Sus scrofa: one gene and its partner. The protein of the gene in region 2 interacts with the protein of the main gene of each other region in a biochemical or structural test. Links are inferred from orthologs where the notes say so. Each region holds a gene or a part of one and is shown on either strand. Other genes may lie near its edges.

The links.
Region 1: the proteins of SRC (region 2) and ASAP1 form a complex in vitro, tested with the Homo sapiens proteins (2 studies listed by BioGRID and IntAct). The link is inferred for Sus scrofa from reciprocal best matches to the Homo sapiens genes SRC and ASAP1.

What each region holds. Positions count from the first base shown.
Region 1 is NC_010446.5:10,102,592-10,106,663, forward strand, and holds the start of ASAP1 (arf-GAP with SH3 domain, ANK repeat and PH domain-containing protein 1), read left to right. Parts: upstream 1-1,268; 5' UTR 1,269-1,497; intron 1,498-4,072. UniProt on the Homo sapiens protein: Possesses phosphatidylinositol 4,5-bisphosphate-dependent GTPase-activating protein activity for ARF1 (ADP ribosylation factor 1) and ARF5 and a lesser activity towards ARF6.
Region 2 is NC_010459.5:40,519,480-40,522,991, forward strand, and holds part of SRC (proto-oncogene tyrosine-protein kinase Src), read left to right. Parts: intron 1-459; coding exon 460-536; intron 537-2,320; coding exon 2,321-2,474; intron 2,475-2,634; coding exon 2,635-2,766; intron 2,767-3,075; coding exon 3,076-3,284; 3' UTR 3,285-3,512. UniProt on the Homo sapiens protein: Non-receptor protein tyrosine kinase which is activated following engagement of many different classes of cellular receptors including immune response receptors, integrins and other adhesion receptors, receptor protein tyrosine kinases, G protein-coupled receptors as well as cytokine receptors.

The DNA of each region.
Region 1 (4,072 bases), on a different chromosome or scaffold from region 2:
AAACCCCCAAATGTGGCATTTCCGTGGGAAACCACAATGAATCACTCCCACTGGCCACCTAGTCCAGGCCTGACTGGATGAAGATTTACTTTGGTTTTCTCAAAAGTAAGAGGCTTTGTAAAGCCTCCCTGGACTTTTTAACAACCCCCCACCTCGTCCTGACGCTCCCGATTAAGAGCAAAATACCAACTTCTGCAAGGTTTGCTGAGTTTCAGATTTCACCAGAAGGGGGTCTGCCATAGCCACTAACCTTTTCCTCTGCAGAGAGCAGTGTCTGAAATGCTGCAGAGAAAAACAGTCACTGGGTGACACGGAGGGAAATGAAATTTTGAGGCTTTGTGGCTATAGAGGGCACAGCACACCCCTCACCAGTTAAAACTTTCCTTTCTCTGACGTCTCTTTTGGTAATAAAGACAATCATGGCTATCATTTATTTGAGCACTTAGAATGCAGTCAGTCCCCTGACTAGACGCTCGGTTTTCGAATCAAACCTCACTGATTTGATTTGAGGGCGGTATTACTACCTCATTTCACATGTGAGGAACCAGAGGCTCAGAGAAGTTAAGGGACTTACCCAAGGTAACAGAGTTATGAAAAAAAGGGGCAAAGTCCAGCTTCCATCCCAGGTCTGAGCCCAAAGTCCGCACTATTAACCTCCAAACTATTCCTATACTACCTTGACCTGGAAAGTCCATGCCACCTGGTCCCGGGTAAAACTGAGGAAACTAGCAGGGCGGAAGCAGAGAAAGGGGGCAGCCAGGTAAAGTCGTTTCTTTTAGGAAAAAGCGGGGAAATGGCCGGGAGATTGCAAGTTCATCCTCCGCAGATGCAAGCGGGGCCAAGGCCATTCCCGGGTGTCGGAGGGCCAGAGAAAGGCACCTCCCAAGGCCAAGGTTTGATCGGGACAAATCCCACCGCTTCCCCCTCTGAGAGAGGGGGAGGCAGGCCAGGGCCGGTGTGAGGCCCAAGGAGCAGGTCGCCCGACCCCAGTCCAGCTCTCAGGTCCAGGCCGGGGTCAGAGACCCCGCCTGCCCCCGGCCAGCGTGCCGGCGGGCCAAGGGTTAAGCGAGGCGGGAGCCCCCGGCGTGGGGCGGCCGCGGGGCCGGGAATGCTTAGTCAGGATTCCGATTTCCTGTCGAAGTGTTTGGATTTCCTGAAACCCGCGCCCTCCGCCGCCGAGCGGGATCGTCCGAGCCGCGCGCGTCGCTGCGGCCTCCTCCCCTCGGCACATGGTCGCCCGCCCCTTCCTGCGCCGCGCTCGGCTCCCGCGCCTCGCCGCTGCCGCCGCCGCCGCCGCCACGGGCCGGCACTCCGCGCTCCGGCAGCCCCCGGCCCGCGCCTCCCGCCCCGCCGGCTGCTCCGGCCGCCGCCCGCTTTCCGCTCCGAGAGCCACGATCGGCCGGCCGAGGGGAGCCGGGGCGCGGGCGTCTGCGCCGCCGCCGAGAAGCCGGCGCCAAGCCCGCGATGGAATAATGCCCAGCGGCCCGCCCGGTCCCGGTGAGTCGCGGGGCGCCCGGACGGGCTCGGCGGGGCCGCGCGCGGTGGGGGGTGGGAGGGTCCTGGGTCTTCGGCGCCCCCTGCCCGGCCCCCGCTCGGAGAGGAGCCGGCACAGGGCGCCGGGCGGGTCCGGACTCCGCGGCGGGGTGCCTGGTGCGCGGGGAGGGCGCCGGCCGCGGGCTCCGCAGGGCCGGGCTCGGCGGTCCAGGGGGGTCCGCGCCCCAGGGATGCGGGGGTGAGGCCGCTCGGGGCGGCGGGGGGGGCTCCGCGCGCCCTCCCGGAGAGGAGCCCGGGCAGCGCGCCCGGGGGCCGGGGCCGGCGGATGGGGCGCCCTCCCGGCTGCAGGCGCGGGCGCTGGCCGCGGCATTGTCTCCCTGGCGCGGCGGAGCAAAGTTCCCCGCCGTTCCTGGAGCGGCCGGCCCGGCCCCGAGCCCCCGGCCCCCGGCCCCCGGCCCCGGCTGGGACTCGGCGCTGCCACGCAGGCCCCAGGCCACTTGCTTCAAGCGAACGAAAACATTCCCACTCGAGATTTGGGGGTTGTTGACGGGAAGACAGGAAAGTGGCTGGTGTTTGTGCTTGTACCATTTTGGGACCTGCTGCATTTTCGGAGAGCGACGTGAAGTTTCAAAGAAAAAAAGAAACTCACTGGCGTCTGGCATTCTGCGGTTTCATACATCCCGAGAGTTGCTCTCTGGCATTCCTAAAGCGGTTTCCTTTAATAATTTATTTTTCCACTAGCGCAGGGGGATGGAGAGCCAAGTTCAGCCCATCGGCCGCGTGACCTCAGCTTTACCTGCACAAATCAGAAAGAACAAGAACTTTCTCCCACTTTTTTCCCCCTAGACTCGGTCAGGTTGTCTTGGCAGAATGGATTCTGGGATGACAGCGGGGCACGGTTTGCTGAGTAATGTTTGGGGATTGTAAAACATAATTCAGTATGGAGGCCAGTTTTCGCTCTCCATCAAACCTCAGCCCCAGGCCTTTGCACTTTGCAGTTGGAGGTTCATCTTATAGCAAGAAGATGCAGGTCTTCTGGAAGCGTCACATCTCCACAGCTCAGAAAGAAAAAGCGTCCCTGAGAACAGTTGTTTCAGCTCCTTCTTTTTTAAAAAAATGTTTTGTCGGAGTTCCTGTCGTGGCTCAGTGGTTAATGAATCCGACTAGGAACCATGAGGTTGTGGGTTCGATCCCTGCCCTTGCTCAGTGGGTTAAGGATCTGGTGTTGCCTTGAGCTGTGGTGTAGGTCGCAGATGCGGCTAGGATCCTGCGTTGCTGTGGCACTGGCGTAGGCTGGCAGCTGCAGCTCCGATTCAACCCCTAGCCTGGGAACCTCCATATGCTGCGCGGGAGTGGCCCAAGAAATAGCAAAAAGACAAATAAATAAATAAATGTTTTGTTATTATAGTTAATTAACAATGTTCTGTCAATGGCGGCTATACAGCGAAAGTGACCCAGTTAGACATTTATATGCATTCTTTTTTCCCATTATCCTCCATCATGTTCCATCACAAGTGATTAGATATAATTCCCTGTGCTCTACAGCGGGGAGCTCCTTCTCCTTCTCCAGATGAGGCTGGGAGAGGTGATGGAGATCCTGCAAAGTCATGTGACCAGGCTTTAGCCTCCCAGTCTAGTGCTCCTCTTACTAATGTCAGTTTAGGGTATGTCAGCTCTGGAATCTTTGGCAATACGCCTTCTTGGCTTTATAACCTACATCATTTTAGTGCCTTCTCTTGTTCTGTCTTATCTGTTATTGCTGCTATTTTTGAGATATGCCGTTATCTCAAACCGCATATTTTGAGATAAAGAAAAAATTCCCTAACCTCTACTGTTCAGCCACTAAATGGATTTGGAGCTTCAGCCGCCAAATGGATTTGCAATATAAAATGGGCGGCTTATTATATAGGGAATTGCCGTTCTCTATCCCATTCTTTTGTAAGAAATAGAAACTCCCAAGCCCCAAAAGGGGCAGTATTTTAGCACATAACGTACCGTATGATATTCTCTACACTTGATTTCCAGCCCCCCTGTATCTTGTGAGTGAGGCAGCCCATCTATTTTTCTCCCTATGAGAGCTCCGAGTGGCTGCTTTTTCATTTTTAGTATGTGATAATGTTGGAGAGAAAGGACTTTTTCGAAAGCTTGCCATTTGGTGAAGGAAATTGAAATTCTCTCCACCTCCCCACTCCTCACCAGCCACAGTGAACCAGATTTTTTCAAAAGCAGTCAAAGCCTTGTAGGCCCCAAGATGCATGTGTGCATTCAGAGGGGCTGGCTGCTCCCTCGCCCCACCTGAGGACCCACCTCCCAGGTGGCCGAAGTCTAGAGGAAAAAAGGGAACCTGTGTTACCTGGAATCGTTTCTGCATTTTCCCTCCAAGTTCTCAGTGGTATTTGAGTGGATCTGGCTGCCGCATTCTCATTTTTCCCTCCTGTGTTTCTTCTCTCCACTTCTCTCCCAGCCACTCTCTCTTCATGGGCTGGAGAACAAGTCTTCTTCTCGGGGATGCATGAAAGATCCTCATGTAAGCAACGGTGACAGTGACAGCTAGCATTTATTGAGCACTTGCTGTATG
Region 2 (3,512 bases):
TTAGAACAATCAAGATCTAGAGCTCCATCACCCCCAGAAAGCACCCTTGTACCCTCCAGAGACAGCACCATCTGGCCTCAAACCCAGACAAGCCACTGATGGGCTTTCTGCTTCACAGATTTGTTTCATAGAGTTTCATATATGTAAATCTTTTACATCCAAGGGTTTTCCTTCTTGCGCTGCGTATCAGTAGTTCGTTCCTTTTTTATTGCTGAATAGTATTCCTTATATGGCTGTGCCCCAATGCTGTTTGCCTGGAGGTCCACCTTTGGTTGTTTTCCATCCTGCTTGCCTTTTCAAGAGGGACAAACAAAGGCTTTATTCAGAGATGGGTTTACATAAAATCTGCAGTGCGGTTAAAGCAAGCCCAGCCTGCCCCGGTGAACAGCGTCTGGGAATCACTGCTTCCTGGCTCAGGGGGAACAGCGTTGGGGCTAGAGCCACTTTCTTTCTGCCCAGGGAGTTTGCTGGACTTTCTCAAGGGTGAGACGGGCAAGTACCTGCGACTGCCTCAGCTGGTGGACATGGCTGCTCAGGTGAGTTTGCCCCTCCTGCCTCCCACACCTGGCCTCGAGTGCGCCGACCTGGTCAGCCAGTTCTGGATTCTTGAGTGCCCCCTCCAGGAAGCTTGCCTTGATTGCTCCCACACTTGCTGACCTCACCACATGTATTCCTGGTACCACTTTAGATGCTGTGTGGTGGCTCTGGGCAGAGGAAAGAGCCCTTACCTGGGCATCAGGAGTCACTGACTTACTGTGGAACCTCAGGCCTCAGTTTTCTTCTGTCTGAAAGTCATTCAGTCACTCAACAGACATGTATTAATATTTGCTTGCTGTAGGTACTACTCAACAACTACTTTTTAAAATTTTTATTTCTTGGAGTTCCCGTCATGGCGCAGTGGTTAACGAATCTGACTAGGAACCATGAGGTTGCAGGTTTGATCCCTGGCCTTGCTCAGTGGGTTAAGGATCCGGTGTTACCATGAGCTGTGGTGTAGGTCACAGACGCGGCTCGGATCCCGAGTTGCTGTGGCTCTGGTGTAGGCTGGTGGTTATGGCTCCGATTAGACCCCTAGCCTGGGAACCTCCATATGCTGTGGGAAGCGGCCCTAGAAAAGGCAAAAAGGCAAAAAAATAAAATTAAAATTAAAAAAAATAAAATTTTTATTTCTTTTTTTTTTCTTTCTTTTTTTAAAAATCTTTTTAGGGCTGCACCTGCAGCATATAGAGGTTCCCAGGCTAGGGGTTGACTCAGAGCTATAGCCTCTGGCCTATGCCACAACCACAGCAACGCCAGATCTGAGTTGCCTCTACAACCCGCAGCACAGCTCACGGCAATGCCAGGTCCTTAACCCATTGAACAAGGCCAGGGATCAAACCTGTGTCCTCATGGATACTAGTCAGATTCGTTTCGCAGTGCCAAGATGGGAACTTTATTGTTTGTTTCTTTTCTGTTTTTTTCTTTTCTTTAGAGCTACACCTGCAGCATATGGAAGTTCCCAGGCTAGGGGTGGAAATGGAGCTACAGCTGCTGGCCTATACCACAGCCACAGCAACACCAGATCTGAGCTGCATCTGTGACCTATGCTGTAGCTTGTGTCAACACCAGATTCTTTAACCCATTGAGCGAGGCCAGGGATGGAATCCACACCCTCATGGATACTAGGTGGATTCTTAACCCACTGAGCCACAACGGGAACTCCATATTTTGTATTTCTGGGCCAGGGATTGAAACCAAGCCACAGGTTTGACCTATGTTGCAACCGAAGCAATGCTGGATCCTTTAACCCACTATGTGGGGCCAGGGATTGACCCTGCACCTCTGCAGCGACTCGGGCTGCTGTAGTTGGGTTCTTAACCCATTGTGCCACAGTGGGAACTCCAGCAGCTAGTTTTTATTTAATCCTTATCACAATCAGGGGAGATAGGGATGGCCATTATTCCATTTAACAGATGAGAAAACTGAGGCTCAGGGAAGAGACTTGGGACAACAGGCAGGAGCTGGCACTCATCTGCATCTCTGGGGGCATCTGGGGCCTCTTTTTCATGGTCACTCCACTTTCCTGGCTGCATCTGGTCTTGGGCCTCTCCTTTACCCTTTGCCCTTTCCCCTGTGCTACACCCCCACCTGGTGCTGGTCCTGCTTTTTGTGCCAACAGTATTTATTGTAAACTGACTTCATTGCCTGAAGACCTGGGAAGGGCAGGGTATTTGGTTGTCTGTCCACCCCTGGGGATGGCCCCACCCCTGGGTACATGCCCTGTGACCTGGGAAGGGCACAGGGTCGCCCCTGAACCAGGCTCGCGGGGTTCTGCCTGCAGATCGCCTCGGGCATGGCCTACGTGGAGCGGATGAACTATGTCCACCGAGACCTCCGTGCTGCCAACATCCTGGTTGGAGAGAACCTCGCGTGCAAAGTGGCCGACTTCGGGCTGGCTCGGCTCATCGAAGACAATGAGTACACAGCTCGGCAAGGTGGGCAGGGTCCCGGCAGTGCCGTGTGGCCATAGGGAGTCAGGCTCCTGCTCTGAGCCTCAGTTTCCTCCTCTGTCAAGTGGGGATGAGAATGGTTCCTACCTGGCAGAGTGATCAGGACGTTCTCCTGAGCTTCTCCTGACCCTACCTGCCTCTGCAGGTGCCAAATTCCCCATCAAGTGGACGGCTCCAGAAGCTGCCCTCTATGGCCGGTTCACCATCAAGTCCGACGTGTGGTCCTTTGGGATCCTGCTGACGGAGCTCACAACCAAGGGACGGGTGCCCTACCCTGGTAAGAGGGCGCCTAGCAGCCCATCTTTGGTCCTTCTGCCCCTGCCCTGGGGCCCCTCTGCTCAGGTGACCTCGGGCAAGTCACAGCCCCTCCCGGGCCTCAGTTTCCCCATCTGTATAACCAAGAGGTGGAACATCTGATCTTAGGCTCTCTTTTTGTTCAGGGCTCCCAGCCCAAGGCCAGCTCCCTTCCCCATGGTCACGGCCACCCTGTCCTAGGCAGGAAGCCATCTCTGTTGTCCCTGTCCGCTTCCCCCCGCCCCACTTTTCTCACCGCAGCCAGCCGCTTCACGCCTCCCTCCGCCCACAGGGATGGTGAACCGCGAGGTGCTGGACCAGGTGGAGCGGGGCTACCGGATGCCCTGTCCGCCTGAGTGTCCCGAGTCTCTGCATGACCTCATGTGCCAGTGCTGGCGGAAGGACCCGGAGGAACGGCCCACCTTCGAGTACCTGCAGGCCTTCCTGGAGGACTACTTCACGTCCACCGAGCCCCAGTACCAGCCCGGAGAGAACCTATAGGGTACAGGCTACAGGGCCAGACTGCCTTCTCAGCTTGGATCCTGGGTTGGGTGGCCCCTGACATGGGGTCTCGCCTCCCTCTGCCTGCCCGCCATTGATCCTCTCTGAGGGGCCAAGGACAAGGCCCCTCCGTCTTTTGTGGCATGGAAGGGCTTGGGGCCCCGGGCAGCCCTGGGGGCGGGGTCTGAGGCTGGCGCAGTGACTGTGTCCGGGCCTCCGCCCAGCCAC